2 linked regions of the Bombyx mori genome follow. The protein of the gene in region 1 purifies or fractionates together with the protein of each later gene. This does not show direct contact. Links are inferred from orthologs where the notes say so. Each region holds a gene or a part of one and is shown in the gene's direction. Other genes may lie near its edges. The genes, in order: WW domain-containing oxidoreductase and WW domain-binding protein 2.

The links.
Region 2: the proteins of WW domain-containing oxidoreductase (region 1) and WW domain-binding protein 2 purify together in Homo sapiens (affinity purification with mass spectrometry; 3 studies listed by BioGRID and IntAct, with this or other methods). This does not show direct contact. The link is inferred for Bombyx mori from reciprocal best matches to the Homo sapiens genes WWOX and WBP2.

Annotation. Positions count from the first base shown.
Region 1 is NC_085118.1:4,747,602-4,750,750, forward strand, and holds the end of WW domain-containing oxidoreductase, read left to right. Parts: intron 1-427; coding exon 428-568; intron 569-2,063; coding exon 2,064-2,243; 3' UTR 2,244-2,424; downstream 2,425-3,149. Other genes in the region: putative transporter SVOPL, read right to left, coding at 2,570-2,649. UniProt on the Homo sapiens protein: Putative oxidoreductase. Acts as a tumor suppressor and plays a role in apoptosis. Required for normal bone development. May function synergistically with p53/TP53 to control genotoxic stress-induced cell death.
Region 2 is NC_085117.1:14,735,318-14,739,858, reverse strand, and holds the start of WW domain-binding protein 2, read left to right. Parts: upstream 1-1,659; 5' UTR 1,660-1,839; coding exon 1,840-1,895; intron 1,896-3,084; coding exon 3,085-3,259; intron 3,260-3,695; coding exon 3,696-3,855; intron 3,856-4,449; coding exon 4,450-4,541. UniProt on the Homo sapiens protein: Acts as a transcriptional coactivator of estrogen and progesterone receptors (ESR1 and PGR) upon hormone activation. In presence of estrogen, binds to ESR1-responsive promoters. Synergizes with YAP1 to enhance PGR activity.

The DNA of each region.
Region 1 (3,149 bases):
TCAAATTGTAGTGTTTATCGACTCACATTACTATTTTATACTAACTGTAGAATTAAACAAATAGATATGTATGTACAATAATAAAAGCCCAGTCATCGTTCTTGTCGAACCCGTCGGTTGCGACGAAGGGCTCGACGAGTAAATTAACCCTCAGACACAGCCCACTGAGTTTCTCGCCGGATCTTCTCAGTGGGTCGCGTTTCCGATCCGGTGGTAGATTCTGCAAAGTACGGCTCTTGCTAGGGTTCGTGTTCGCAACGTCATTAGGTTTGAGCCCCGTGAGCTCACCTACTAGTTAAGGCGACGCTGATATAGCCTCTCAAGGCTATCAGCTTAGGTAGGAAAAAAAATAAAAAAATAATAATAAAAGATACCATGAAATTCATACACTGAAATTTTCTAATATAAAAATTTTATAAATTTGCAGATGTTAAGCGAAAAATGGAAGGCAAAAGGTATATGCGTGAATTCTCTGCATCCAGGTAATATGGTATCTACAAACTTGAGCAAATCGTGGTGGCTGTATAGATTGGCATTCTTTTTAGTAAGGCCCTTCACTAAATCTTTGGTGAGTAATTTATTTATCTTTTCAAAGAATTTAATGGCAGTCGAGGAAACGGAATGGTAGACATTGCTATGGGCACAACAAAACCTATTGATATTCAAACCACTATACCGTTTGAGATACATGTCTCAACCTCAGGGTAGAAGTTTGAGTTCTGATAGAATAATGCCTGAAATACTGAAAATCAGAACAGTTGAATGAATCTTGGTTGTCATACTAAAAAAAATTACACTTACATGTATGACCAATTGTAAAATAGTAGTGCCAGTACAGGCATTAATACATATAGAACTGATATAATAATAATTATATGCATTTAAATATATATATAAGTTAAGGAGATGCATATTGGGTATGTAAAAAAATGCACATATTATTTGGTTTTGGAACGTTGAGTACACTCGTTGGTACTTCAGGGAACATTTATGCCAGGGTACTGTAGGGCAGGGATGGCCAACTTGATTAAAACCAAGATCAACTGTTTACTGACGAAACACTACAGTCAGCCAATGACATTTCTTGAAATTTAATGAAACAATGTAATTCAGTATACAAATAAGTAGTATATTTTTTATTTATTAAAAAGATTTACATAGAGCTGAAATAATATAATAAAAGAGAACTATTGTGTGGAAGAGAGGATAAATAATGTGACGTAATGGTCATTTACAAATGATACAAGATGAAGATGATGTGTACAGCATTTATATTTTTTGTCTTGTCACGATCGACTCAAGTAATAGCCATGATCGACCGGTCGATCGCGATCTACCGTTTGGCCACCTCTGCTGTAGGGGGGAATGATACCCCGCCACGTTTTTCCCCTACCTATGCTGATAGCCTTGAGAGGCTATTTCAGCTTCTTAACGTGTAGGTGAGCTGACGAGGCTCAAACCGGAGTGTTGCTAACACTAGCCCGGATCGGAAACGTGACCCACTGAGAAGATCCGGCGAAAAACTCAGTGGGCTGTGTCTATGGGTTAACCCCGCCCCGCTTAGCTTTCTAGGCAGTTAGTAGTTAACCCTTATACGTTAGTTAGTCGTTAACGTGTAGCGATCCACCGCGGTCGCTGACGCGAATAAACATATGTTTTATTGACTGACCACTCCGCTGTGGTTTCCCGAGGACAATTCACACAACAATAAATAACCTCACTACAAATCTTACAGTAACATATATGTATTTAAAAGCTTTTTTTTATTGCTTAGATGGGTAGACGAGCTCTCAGCCCACCTGGTGTTAAGTGGTTACTGGAGCCCATAGACATCCATAACGTAAATGCGCCACCCACCTTGAGATATAAGTTCTAAGGTCTCAAGTATAGTTACAACGGCTGCCTTACCCTTCAAACCGAAACGCATTACCGCTTCACGGCAGATATAGGTAGGGTGGTGGTTAGGTACCGCGCGGACTCACAAGAGGTCCTAGCACCAGTAAGAAGAGTTCACGCATTGGGCACAATACGCCCTGCCGTAAACAATTATAATATTTGTCTAGCAACAAGCAGCAGCGACGACTGTCTACGCAGCGACCGCCTCAGAGCTCGAAGGCGTCACAGGATTGTACTTCAACAACTGTTTCTATTGCGAAGAGTCTGCGCTGGCAAGGGACAAAGAAATAGCACAAGCCGTCTACGACATGTCGCTTAGGCTGATCGAAGATATCTCGAAGACATGATCACGGATAATTTGTGAATTATTGTCGTACGTTATAAATAAAGTGAAATCGGGCTTAGTCGTGATACGATTAATGTACGGAATTGTTTTTATAAGGCGAAAGGGATTGACGTCACTTCACATCGTACATTGATGTATCGTAAACTCGAATAAGAAAAAGGGGCAATAAATGTAAAAATATGTTTTTATTTTTTATTTACTTAGATCCCCCGTGCAGACTCAGCAAAAAAAGGTATGTACAGCTATAAATACACCCGTCAAATAATTAAAGCAAATTCCGTAAAATGAAGTGTATGTAATACGCATGTATCAAAATTAAGTACTTTTTCATAATCTTGTTATTTTTGAGGTTTTCGGTTTATGTTCCTCTCTTGATTTTGGCAACAAGAGCGTAAGACCGCCGCATACTGTAATGAGAAAAAAATATATGTTAAAAAGGTCAAAGATTGTTCCAATTGGTGCATAATATGGACTTGTAATTGTCTAATTTTTTCTCTCGACTAAATGACTATAACAGTAAAGTAAAGAATAGTAATTCCCAAGTTTTAATTGAAAAATTTAGCATTATTTTGTGTACGATGTGCTTATTAAAACCCATTCTTTCTTTCTTTTTCACCATCGTTCCGGATCGTGACTCTGCTGTAGTTTTCTCACTGTTTTTCCCCCCCTATTCCTAACCCTTTTCCTGGTAGAGAGTTCGTTGATCTCCGCTGAGAGTAACCTGGTCAGACCATCGCTTTAAGTTTCGGCCTCTGGACGTTTTGTCGGTAAAGATAAGCCTTTCATTAACAATGTTAAGTCTCGCAAAATTGATGAATTTTTTTGGAACGCTGTCTAGGGAATTCTCATCATTCAGAGTCAACACATTTCAAAAGGGTCTATTCGATACTTGCTAGTGGTTCTCAGG
Region 2 (4,541 bases), on another chromosome or scaffold:
TATTTCCAACCTCGTTTGTGATTGGTTTTTGTTTCTTAAGCCGTTTTGGTTTCAAGTGGGGCCATTTTTTTTTTGAAATTTGTTCCGAGTAATAAATATAGTAATAAATATAATAAAATAATTATTTTATTAATTATTAATTATTATTTATTCGTAGGTAATAACGGTGGTTTATTAACTGTTTAGTATCTGTGAAAGTACACAAATATGGGAAAATGAAACAAAGCCGCTGGACGTAACTTCTCGGGATCCTCCAAAAAGTCCACTGAAAAAATCTTAGTAAATGACCATAATTTTACTGAGATTTTAATTCATCCTATATCATCTCAATTCATTTCATTTAATTTCATCCCAATTGATTAGTGTCTCAAATTAATCATCTTCATTTCATTTCAGTCCTTAATATCATTTTTCATAAAAATATGAATAATATAAATAAAAATAAAACATGACTTAAAGGTCTCAGTTACCAGGTCATAAAAATCTCTTAAAAAAAAAGTTTAACAGAGTCTAGACGTGCGCTAATCATGTTCGGAACTGGATTGAACATGACATCGTTCTTTTGAGTGTCGGAACTAGTTCCAGTAAACATGTTCGCGGAACTGTTTAGTTCCACGAACATGTTAAGGCTAGTAGCTGTTTGTAGTTTGTAGCTGTTTAGTTCCGCGGACATATTAAGTCTAGTAGCTGTTTGAAGCTGTTTAGTGCCGCGGACATGTTAAGTCTAGTAGCTGTTTGTAGTGTAGCGAATCACGTATTAAGTTATTATTTATTACACAATATTTTTCAAAAAAGGTATTAAAAATACAATTTTTTAAAAGCACTATATAAAAATAGATTGCCGCTTATGGTAATTATTATTGTAATTATTATTTTGTAAGGTTTTTAGTTTAAGGTTCATTGTTACAGCTGGTTGCATAATTTATTAATGTACTCTAATTACTTTGTCATAATTTCAACTACTCTACTACTTTCATTATTTTTCAATGTATTGTACGATGCACCGGAAACTATAACCTATCAGTTGTTAATTAAAATACCACGTTATTCTGATATACAACTTAAATTGAGCTCGTTGTAGCCTTACAACCTTTTTCCCATAACCGAGATACCGAATAGCGAAAGTGGTGAATGTTTTAAAATTCTCTAATTTTGAATTATGATTTTCTAAAAAATGGTCTACAAACACTTAAGGTTAAGTGCTCGTAGGAATGATGCATGGTCAAGGTCAAAATCCATAGCAAAACATTTTAATTTATTCAACTATCGACTGTAACACGTAGGTCGTAGAGCATAACTTCAATATTAATAAAAATGTAATATGAAAGAGCTCCACACGCAGTTTCATGCACTCGCTCCATCTCACTCCCTCGTATTCGTGCCATATGTCGCCTTATCTCTTTACGTGGACTCGTGTCGGTTCGAGACTCGTTCGGGTGGACTCGCCGCGCCACGCCTCCGCGCCGCGCGGTACCTATGCTCTAATCATGTCCGCATGTCCGTCATGTTCAACGCGTTCGTAGTTCCTGCATAACAGTACACTTGGAATGGAAATGGAACTGTCTGAACATGTTAATTTTGACAACTCGGATTGAATGATATAGTTCCATATGAGGACATAGTTCCAGGAACTATTTAGGTCCGGAACTACGCATGTCTAACAGAGTCCCTCTGAACATAGATTATACACTTAATGTATGCTTAATACAATTTGGTGATTACGATTGATTACGATCGTAAATAACGTAATAAAGACACTCGACACAGGATTCGATTCAAATTAAGTTTTTTGAACCTTAGTGGTTAAATGTTATATATAATCAGCACAATAATTGCATTATGTCTTTAAATACCGCTCACGCCGATCACGGAGTTTTGATACACGCAGGGGAATGGTGAGTCATCTTGTTTTCATATTTTCAGAATGTTCTACGCTTAACTGTACCATTCTTTAATCGAAGAAATACTTTGTAGGTATTAAAGTATAAACAAATGTTTCATAGTTATATTAGACTATGCCGCCACATCATTAATTATTATTATAAAAATAATAATAATGGTATAATGAAAAATATGAAAAAAATTAATAACTACTAGCATATAAGCTGTTTATGCGTGGCTCCAGTTACGGAGGTAACATGTCTTGTCTGTTTAATTCAGAATTCATCATGCCCAGATGAAATACGTATATTTAGATAGTATATTCTTGTTAATAGAGATTCCACCTTTGTAAAAACGTTGATGTGGAACATTATAATATGTCATACTTGCTTAGAAATTATTAGTCAACTAATTATGCACTGTCTCTGTCCCAATATATGAGATCATGATCTGTTAATTTTGTCCCAACCCTTCCATAAAGTTCTTTTGTTTGTGTTCATTAACCAAATTTTTTAATAATCTCAAAAGACTCCAAAATTGCAATATAAGTAAGTAACTGTTAAGTTTTTATAACTATAATATAAGAAAAAATTAAATTGGTCATTACTACCATTTTCACAAGCGAGTGTGCCTTCTAAATGACAAAAAAAACAAACAAACAAAGAAAAGTTTAATTTTCTTGATGTGAGTCGACTATTATCAAAGGCGGCAATGTGACTTTTGGACAATTATTGGTAAATCAGAAAAACGAATTATTGACTTTGTATTCCATTGGCAGTTACAAAACTCTTCTGAACGACATCCTAGATAAATAACAGGTTAAGTATTAACCTTTATTTAATGCAGGTTTTGAACCATATTCTTTGAAGGAGACGATTATATTCAAATCAATCTGTATTGACATATCAATAACATTTTTTTGTCCAAATGCACAGATTGCCACCTTTGATAATAGATGACTCATGTGTCGTTTTTGAAACTATTTTGCAAAAAATACTTTTCAATAAACTTTCTTGTTTGTACAAATAAGGCCGACTGGCCTCTTGGTGAAAAAAGGGTTGATTCAATGGATACTTCAGATTAATATAACACTAGATATTATCTTTAGTGGCATATGAAATATTGACAATTTTATCTAGAAGATGATAAAGAATGATTATCATTATATTGATATTTTTTTATTTATTTACTTTACTATTTCAGCATCATCTTGTTTTCTGACAATGTGTCAGTTGAATTCTATGGGAATGATACACCAGAGTTTAAGGGGATCAAGGAGGGACGGATGTACCTCACTACTCATAGAATGATTTACAATTCAAAGAAGAATACAGATGCCATGAGATCATTCAGTTTTCCTTTTATTGCATTGCAAGATGTAAGTAATTTATTTGTTAGATGAAGAACAACATAGGATATGATGACTAAATAAACTACTGCTGAATGCAGTTTGGTTTTTCAGAAATCTGTCTCTTGTCTGTCTTGGCTAAAAAGTTATTAAATATATTCATTGACATGAACTGAGCCAATAAAAAGAAATCAGTACTATTAATAAATAATTATATAGATAAATAGCTAATATTTGATTGTTATGAACCCATTTTAAATTGCAAATTCACTGCAAATGAGTCCATAGTAATAACATAAAATTTATATTATATAAAAGCTTGTTGCAATATTATGCACCAGGGGGAATAGTGTGAATAAGTGGAATCTGTGTTCCCTACAGCTGGAGACTTAATAGAAGCCTGTCTTCAGCAGTATTTCGGGCAATGTTGATGATTATGACGATGTGAATTGATATTGTTTTATAGGTAACTGTGGAACAACCTATGTTCTCTGCCAACTGTATAAAAGGTAAAGTTCGTGCCCAACCTAATGGCAACTTTATTGGTGAGGTCAAATTCAAGCTTACCTTCAAATCAGGAGGTGCTATTGAGTATGGACAAGCCATGTTAAAAGCTGCTCATCTTGGTGAGTAAAAGTAATGCCTACCTAATCATAATTGAATGCGACAAGTCTATATCAGTTACTGAATTCGATTGAAGACTACTGAAGAGTATGTTTACATCACAACCTTGAAATGATGTTGGGTTGTTGTTATTGAAGCAAGAGCTTACCTTCCATGCTATATCACTAAAAGTTATTGAAAGGCCCCTTACCTCAATTTTTAATATTGTATTATAGCTACAATACCAAAAAATTTTATAGTAGACAGCGGTTTGGCTCTGCCCCTGGCATTGCTGAAATCCATGAGCGACGCTAACCATTCTATCTATCTATCTCTTAGGTTTATGGCGTTTCATTTTAGATTTCGCCAATGTCAAGTGTATATAATACTCTGCTTATTCACTATCAGGTAGGCCGTATGCTCGTCTGCCTACATGGGCAAGAAAAAAATAAACAATAAAGTGTATAAAAGTAATAAGATTTGTTAGAATTCATTAAAAAAGACTTAATTATCTATTGATTCTACATATGAGCAATTTCTTCTATATAAAGCAATCCTTGATATGATATCAAATTATGTTTAGCAATATATAATAAATAAAATATAATTTTTTTTAGCTTCTCGTCATATGGCAGCTGGTGCTTCGCCACCTCCTTATACCCCACCGACTGGACCGTGGCAAGCCGCACCACCACCAGCATATGCACCT